2 linked regions of the Zea mays genome follow. The protein of the gene in region 2 binds, or shares a complex with, the protein of the main gene of each other region. Links are inferred from orthologs where the notes say so. Each region holds a gene or a part of one and is shown on either strand. Other genes may lie near its edges.

Region 1 (4,409 bases), on a different chromosome or scaffold from region 2:
TGTTCTGCGTTACTATCAAATTCAAACAACTATTTCTCTAGTTCACCTCATCAAGAAGCTCAGTGCGTCCTTGCCCTGCCTCAACTGCAGCCAATGCTTTTTCATGGCAACCATGTTGAAGAAGCCAAGCAATATGATCTTCAGCATCTCTAATCAGAAGGTGCACACTATATTAATCATGGGATTATTTTTGGGAAAATTTTGCCACAGGACAGTCAAAACGATTTACTTTTACTGAAAGGTAATGGAAACTGATTTTTGCTGCTGGACACTACAAAATTGTGTATATTCACTGACAAGCATGGTTTAGTCACTTTGTGTCCTCCAGAAAATGTATGGAAAAGATCGATTCTTTCTAAAGTTTGCTGGAGGTCACTCATTAAATTTCAATTAATATAATATCCTCAAAGTGACAATCAGATAAAATTAGATATTGTAATTGGGGGTTGATATGAGCTCTTTCTTTGTAACAAACCTTGGCTTTGCAACGACTATGTCCTTAGGAGACACAATGTAATACAAAGGTTCATCACCAGCAGCCCACTGTCCACCTGCATTGCTACTTCCTGAATGACAGGACAAGAGAATCAGGGTTCCTTCATTAGAAAAGTTCTCATCAATAAGAAAAGAAATGCCACTGATGTTAGAGCACAATCAATTAAACCTGAGAAAGGTGCATGTGCAAGAGCATAGTCCTTTGCCTTGTAATGCTCATAACCATGAATAGGCAGAGCATCTGTAGTAAGCTCATCATTTTTCCATGATACAAGATGTATTTCTGGACGCTGTGCAGTTCCCTGCAAAATTTTAGAAACATAACAGGAACATCAATCTCAGAAGTCAGAAGCATTATTTTAGAAGCAAAGGTACATGGTATGCAATGCAGATGTAACAGACATTCAGAGATGTGATGATTACCTGTCGTGAAGTAACAGAAGTACTAAATGTTTTCTCTTTTTCATCCTCATCAGGAATATAGGCAAGTACGACTAAAAGGTCACCAAATGGAGCAACCCCAGATATGTGATAGCCTGTTTGGAATGAGCCCACAATGTCCACATACTTCTCAGAACTAGCTGTGGTGATAGTTCTTTGTAGGCCATTGAGTCCCTGAGATAGATCTGTTCGGATCGCTGCAATCTTGACACTTGTTCCCCATCCAACAACTAAGACTGTATCATCCTAAGCATGTATAGATCAGTTAACATAACATGTACTTTTTAAATCAAAATATAAGCTAGAAAATAATAAATTTAGAAGTCAGTCCTTGAGTCAGACACGCTAATAACATGAATGATTCCATATCAGCCAGAAAATAAAATGGCTATCATGCTCCTTTTACACGATTGAAAGTATGTCAATTCATTAGAAATAGAAGCATCATGTGTGTTTCTTTGTGTTTGTGCCCCTGGCTAATATCCTGTCTTCCGCATACTAAAGTTAAGAGCAAATATTTGACTTATTGCACATATCACCAAAACTTTCCACTTCACAAAATCCTTTGCTTTTGCACCCCTCTATTAATATTTTACTCATATGCTAACAAAATTGAAATGTACCAGTCGAGTATGTATAATCCATATACAGATATAAAGATATAATTACCTGCCAGACTAGGTGGGGAAGCAAGAACTCTGGTCGATGAATGCCTTTTGGTCTCTCTATGAATGCGATCCCTTTGTCTGTTCTCATATCATGCACTTTGACCCCTGCATCATTAGCCCAAGCAAGAAGATCCGCCCTCCACTTCATCGAATGGATTGGCCCTTCACCATCACGCAAAACCTACATAACCATCAAGCAAGAGATGTGCTAGCCATTAGAGGTCACTGGATGCATCAGATCTATTATCCTAAGGAAACCAAACTTACCTTCTTATGGTAACCTCCCCAAGACTTCTTTGTCAGCACAAGTACTTGGCCTGCTAAACCACCAGTAGCAAATCTTCTATAGTTCCGGGCATAATTAGGGTCTAGAGCAATTGCCTTCATGGGGCGATGGTACTCAAACTTTAGCTTTTCATCGGTGAAGAGGCTGTTTATTGCCACTGTGCCATCATCCGAGCAGCTGCCTATATATTCACCGTCTGCGTCAAAGCTTATGTCGTTGATAGTTGCTGTGTGCGCAGCAATTTCTTTCACCTACACAAAACGTAAAGCACAAATAGATGAAACTGATGCGTATCAGCATGCAAGTTTAGCATTCCTACAGATTGAATCTACATGGAGTGACAGTGTCATTTGATCACGTGCTTTAGTTTTGCATATCAACGTGTCATTCTTTGGCTCCACAACTTCCCCAACCATAGGTCCGGGGAATTTCAATCAGAACAATACTACAGTGGCGTGATCCTTGTTACCAGACCTATATGCATCACAGGATTTCAAGCTGCGAGTGACGAAGGAAGCTAGCAGAGCCTCCAGCAACCGTGTGAGCGTCTACAGCCAGGTCAGTTTCGGATTAATAAATCCGTCCAAACTCTATTGTTGAAGTGGCAAAAGTAGTTTTGACCCAGCAAGTATAGAGGAAGAAGCTCCAAGAGCAGTCCCAATGCCCCAGGATCCCGTCTCCCTCAACGCCACACCTTCGCCCGTTCCCATCACAAGCCCCAATTCCGCAGGGAGAGAGCGCCCTGTGGCGAGACGAAAAGGGTACCTGGTTGCCCTGGAAGTCGAGGATGTGGAGCGTGCCGTTGTGAGTGCCGAGCGCGACCATGCGGTCGGCGACGGCGATGGCGGCCGCGGCGTCGGTGGAGAGGATCGCCGGCACGCTCCCGCCTAGCCGCTGGTACTTGAGCCGCGGCTCCTCCTCGTCGTCGTCGTCCTCCTCCTCCTCCGCTTCGTCATCGCCCACTTCCTCCTCATCAACCTCCTCCTCGCGCTCGTCGTCGCCCTCCGCGCCGTTCTGCAGCGGCAGCGGCGGGCGGGCGCGCCGCGCGGGCGCGGTGGACATCCTCTCGCCGCCGGCCGGCCCGCGAGATCTCCCGTCCCGAGGCGATTTCCGGTGAAGCCGAGGGCCCGCGTGTAAGAACTGCCTTTGCCTCGGTGCTCGTCCATTGATGTGTCGTGAACGCCTGTAAAAACTAGTCCAGTGCATCGAGTGCGGCCGAGCCGGGTCCGGCTGGGCCGCTGGGCTGGTGATCGAGCCAGGCTAGCCACCCAGGAGAGCCACGCGCCGGGTGCGGGCCTTCGGCTCGTGGTCGTGGTGTGGGTGTGGCTGCTCGGCGCTGGCCGGGTCCGCGGTCGGGTCTCCATCGGTTTCGAGTGCTGGACCTGGACCGCGAAGGAGTGGGCACACGTGGGCCGCCTGGAGCTTCTGGCTCGGTGGATCGGATTGGAAGCCCAGCAATTAATAATGTCATGCCATCGTGGCATCGTCTCGCCGTTGACGTGGTTTCCTCACCGATGACGGCAGACAAGTAGTAAAAGCACTGATCCAGACGGTTATTTCAGTTTCGCCTGGCTGTTAGTAACAGTGAGAGCACCTCAAAAAAAACTCTTTAATTTTGACTCTTTATTTATCTCTATAAAGATTAAACTCTATATATAACATTTTATTTAATAGACTCTCTAACATGTAATTTAGCTTGGCTATCGAGAGTTGCTAGTTAAATTTAGCTAGTGATGGAGTTAATTTAGAGGATCGGATAGCTTGACAAATAAAATAGCTAATCCTTTGAAAAGCTATTTTGTTATTAGGTCGTTAAAATTTAGCTTGACAGGCTATTTAAATCTTTGTCTGACTGGCCGCTGCCGATGGATCGAGATGAGCCTGCGCGAAGGGAGCAGCGTCATCGGATCGCCTCCGACCGAGTCACGGCTCACGCACGCGTGCTATCTACCTTTTCCTTTCGGCGTCTCGCTGGCGATCCAGAGTTCTGGACGGCGGACGTGGACAACGACCAGCAGAAGGCGTCATGGAGGCACCGACCTGTTTGGACTGAAGGCAACAGCGCCATCAAGCCTCCTTTTATTTTTTTTCCCCAGCTTTTCATATGCAACCGATGACGGCTCTTGTCCACGGGATCAATGAGATGACACCACATGTCCGTAATGGCCGGCCCCGTCCCTGGCCCAGAGACACAGAGCAGTCACTTATTTAGTCTAGTACTACAAAATAAGTGATTGTTTACATCTCTAAGATATCTTTAGTTAAAGAAGTATTAACCAGGCTTTTAGGGGAAAAAAAGGCACTTTTAAGTATGTATGGTAGCATGAGTGTTATAAAGGATGTTTACAACTGCTTCACTTTGCCAGCTCCACTCTAAAATTTTAGCCACATAGGTTTAGCTCACGTGACGTAAAAAGGTTAGATTTACACAAACTCTATCCAATTTTAATGTCTCATCCTATACAAGGTCTCCTAACAACCTCTCTCAGTTTTAATCTTATCTAGATTTAGATTGCGTT
Region 2 (3,819 bases):
GTGAGGAAGGTGATTGCGCGGGCGAGTGCCTGCAAGGTGTCTGCGGCGGTGCGGCTCCAGGCTGCCGCACGTGACCTCCTAGTGTGTCGGCGGCTGCAAGAGGTGCACCGACAGATGCTCGAGACAGCCTTGGTGGCGGTCGACCTCAGCACAAGGGGACGCGGCCTCACCCTGTCGGATGGCCATCAGCAACCGCTTTGGGCCGTTGTCTCCAAGCGCGAGCATGGTGCGTGTCCCGCGGGCGACGAACTCCAATTCTACGGCAACGGCGGTAGGGAAGGCGCTCCCCTCCTTGTCATCGACGAGGGCGCACTGCCTAGCGCCACCACATTCCTCTACCGGCCGCCACGAGGGCACCTCCGCTAGTCATTGTTGCGACCCATTCCAGGTGGCCATCCACGTGTTCCCCTTTCGTCCAGATGGCGTCCATGGGATCCAGGTGGCTGCACACATGCATATCCAATGCGCGGAGGTGTCCGCCTTATCTTAAGGCTTCAAAAATAAGGAGTCACAGCCTAATTCAGGCAAGGTTACAATAAGCGCTAGGCGTTAGGCGGGCGTTAGGCCACTGTTTAGCGCCTAGAGAGCTTAGGCGTAGATTAATCGTGCTTAAGCGTTTGTAGGAATATACAATATAATATATATATTTGCACAGAAAAAACAGTTTTAGTTAGGAATTAGGGGTACTTACCTGGAATAATGAATAAAAGTATAGAACAAAAGAGATGGAGTAGAGCAAGAGCAGAGGGAGAGGGAGAGGAAGAGGGAGAGGGAGAGCACGCCTGGATAGCTAGGGAAAAGGAGCAGAGAGGCGCTGACCCCGGTGGCCTGGACGACTTGACCAGAAGGGGAAGAGGACACCGATGGTGGCGGCCCTGGACGGCTGGGGAAGAGGACCAGTCTGACAGCGGCCCTGTTTTCCTCCTCTTCCATGCAACAGCAGCTGCAGCTCCCAGCCTGTTTCACTCTCTCCCGGGCAACAGCAGCTCCCACCTCTTTCCCTCCTATTCACTTTCTATTCCCGCGCAGCAGCTTTTTTCTATTCCCGCGCAGCAGCTTCCGTGCTCACCTTTTCCCCGCGCGCCGAACCCCGCTTCCACACGCCTCCTTTCCGCCTCAGCGCGCATAGCGCAAATCACGCGCCGCCTACACGCGCCCACCGCGGAAACCACCGCCCAGGGCCTAAGCGCAGCGCTAACATGCCGCTTAGCGTCTAATCGTGATTAGGCGGGCGCTTAATCGCGCTTTTTTGAACATTGAATTCAGGTTCGGAATAACAAAATTAGCTGAGATGTAAAAGGCTTACTTTTAAGTGTTAGGTTTTTGTCTAGGGGAGTCATCATTAGCGTCATCTTTAGGTTGCAGCTCGAGGACGAGCTGCATGTCCAAGTGGGGTGTAATGTTAAAGGAGTCAAGGGCCTATTGGCCTTAGCCCATTAGGGTTAATTAGTCGCTTACGTAGGGGCCAAGTAAGACCTCTCTATATAATGAGAGATGTATCAATCTATGATCAAGCAAGAGATTAGAAGGAAATCCCTTCTCTCTTGCCATACGTGGGGAAAAAATGCGGCCGGCCTCCCCAACACATCTACTGTTCGTACACTGTTCATCCTCGCGGCACTGTTCATCCAGAGGTGCTGTTCATCAGCGTGAACAGTGCCACGCCTCTCCCAACCAGCAGCCCTAACCCTAGAACGACGGCACCCAAGCGCTGGGGTCCTAGTCCTAGACCCCAAACCTACCACTCGTACTACTTCCGTAACCCTAGTTCCAACGTATATATCCTTTTCGTCTTTCGTCTAGCTGTTCCAAGCCTGTCAGAGCATGATATTCTGAATTTTCCATGAACATTCTATCAGCCAATACTTAACACTCAATAAATGGAAAAAATATGGTTGAAACCTTAATATTTCTGTCAACATAAATTCTCAATTTTGGTCACTCATGGAAATGCATATTCTATAGTTCTTTGCATTTCTGTAAACTATACCACATCAAAGTGAACAACTATGAACAGTGGTTGAAAAATTAAATGCTGTCCGTTTCAAAGGGAATTCGTCGTTAATCTCAGCTACTAATTCATCAAATCTACTAGAAGCCAACATCATATTATTTTGTTATTATGCATTTGATTCTATTAACCTAATTAAGTGACATCTTAATATCTTATCCTTTATTCCTTTTGATTTTGTGGATTAGATATGGACACTTTTTGTTCGATAACGGGAGTTATGAGGAGGCAATGGAACAGTTTTCAGATTCACATGTGGACATTACTTACGTGTTATCTCTGTACCCATCTATTGTTCTGCCTCAAACAAATATTATAGGTGATCATGACAAGCTGCTGGACATGCCAGAATTAGCAAGGGAATCCTCCGATGTGACAGATGAGATGGAATCATACTCTTTACAGCTTCAAGAACCAGATGATAAATCTCCATTGGAGGTAAAGAAAATGAGTCACAATGCTCTAGCTGCCCTTGTGAAGTATTTGCAGAAGAAAAGAAGTGGCATAATTGAGAGAGCGACGGCTGAAGTAACAGAGGAGGTGGTCTCTGGAGCTGTTCACCACAGCTTAAAATTATCTGAGCCATATAAGTCAAAGAAGCTGAGCAAGGTAGTGACTTTTCAAGTTCTGTTTTGGTCTTGCTGCAAGTTAACTAGTAGAAATTGGTGACAGATGTGGAATTGCATGGATCAAAAACTAATAATATATGCACAGGTGATGGAGTCTCTATCTGAGTAGGTTTGGTGGCTTGACCGCTTGAGTGAGTCTTGAGTAGCACTACTCAGGTCCTAGGTTTGACTCTCCATGGGATCAAATTTTCAAGCTACGGCTAAAAAAATCCCCTCATCCATTCCACACCAAAACGTAGGTCCAAGGTCCGGCCCTGGTCATGGTCGTTCTCATATGGGCTATAATGCCGTTGTGTATGGGTGGAGCAGGGGTCCGGGATTTTTTCTCGACCTGCATGAAGGTCTTCTTAATAGTTAATACAATGCAAGAGGGCTGTTTTACCCCCCACAGGTCGAGTTTTTTTAAACATATACATAGTAGAACGAACTTGAAACTGACTAGATATTAACATGACCTGATTTTTGGAGTATAAGTATATCCCATTTCATATATTTATATGAGACCGAGAATGATTCTTGACACTAGAATTGGTGTTTGCTTCAATGCTATTTGTTTATTGACCTTTGAACTGCAGCTTGCCTTTTCTACAACCAAATTCATTTTAGGATCCCTAGACAGAAAATTGTTTGGTTCTTTTTTTGACAGAAGTGTGGAAGTTTCGTTCCTTGGTCTCTAGATTGGTTTGTTGGGGGTGTTTCAGTGTCTTGTACAGTTAGGTCAGGGTAAATTTAGAATGGAAGAAAGTAAGCGGCTATATGGGTTCGTTTATGTAGGAGTTAAACTGAGTTAAACTGGAATACTTAGAAATATTAAGGACATATGGTAACCTGAGCTAGAAACTGGGCAACTTTCAATTATCTTGGGACTTGGTCCATAATGGATTGCATTTCTGGAATATAGCTGTAGATTTTGGTCATGGGTCAGGATACTGCATCCAAAATTTCTGAGACACTGTAAACTTGTTACTTGTTAGTGTGCATGGTGTCTTTCAATTGTGTAGATGGTTGCAATTTAACAATATATCAGTTATTTACCAATCAATTTCTCTTTTATTTTCAGAAACGAGCTCAGACACATACAAGCTCTATTGCTAGAGAAATGGCAACTGTACTGGATACTTGTCTGCTTCAAGCTCTTATTCTTACTGGGCAGTCATCAGGGGCAATAGAGTTGTTGAA

Evidence for each region.
Region 1: Vacuolar sorting protein 39 (region 2) and Vacuolar protein sorting-associated protein 41 homolog share a complex: the UniProt entries of both Arabidopsis thaliana proteins name them as parts of the homotypic fusion and vacuole protein sorting (HOPS) complex. The link is inferred for Zea mays from reciprocal best matches to the Arabidopsis thaliana genes EMB2754 and VPS41.

Annotation. Positions count from the first base shown.
Region 1 is NC_050097.1:2,313,004-2,317,412, reverse strand, and holds the start of Vacuolar protein sorting-associated protein 41 homolog, read right to left. Parts: upstream 3,013-4,409; 5' UTR 2,953-3,012; coding exon 2,656-2,952; intron 2,142-2,655; coding exon 1,872-2,141; intron 1,786-1,871; coding exon 1,606-1,785; intron 1,183-1,605; coding exon 919-1,182; intron 798-918; coding exon 665-797; intron 567-664; coding exon 476-566; intron 150-475; coding exon 47-149; intron 1-46. UniProt on the Arabidopsis thaliana protein: Required for vacuolar assembly and vacuolar traffic.
Region 2 is NC_050096.1:275,113,081-275,116,899, reverse strand, and holds part of Vacuolar sorting protein 39, read left to right. Parts: intron 1-2,199; coding exon 2,200-2,620; intron 2,621-3,700; coding exon 3,701-3,819. UniProt on the Arabidopsis thaliana protein: Essential protein required during embryogenesis. Believed to act in part as a component of the putative HOPS endosomal tethering complex. HOPS is required for the central vacuole formation.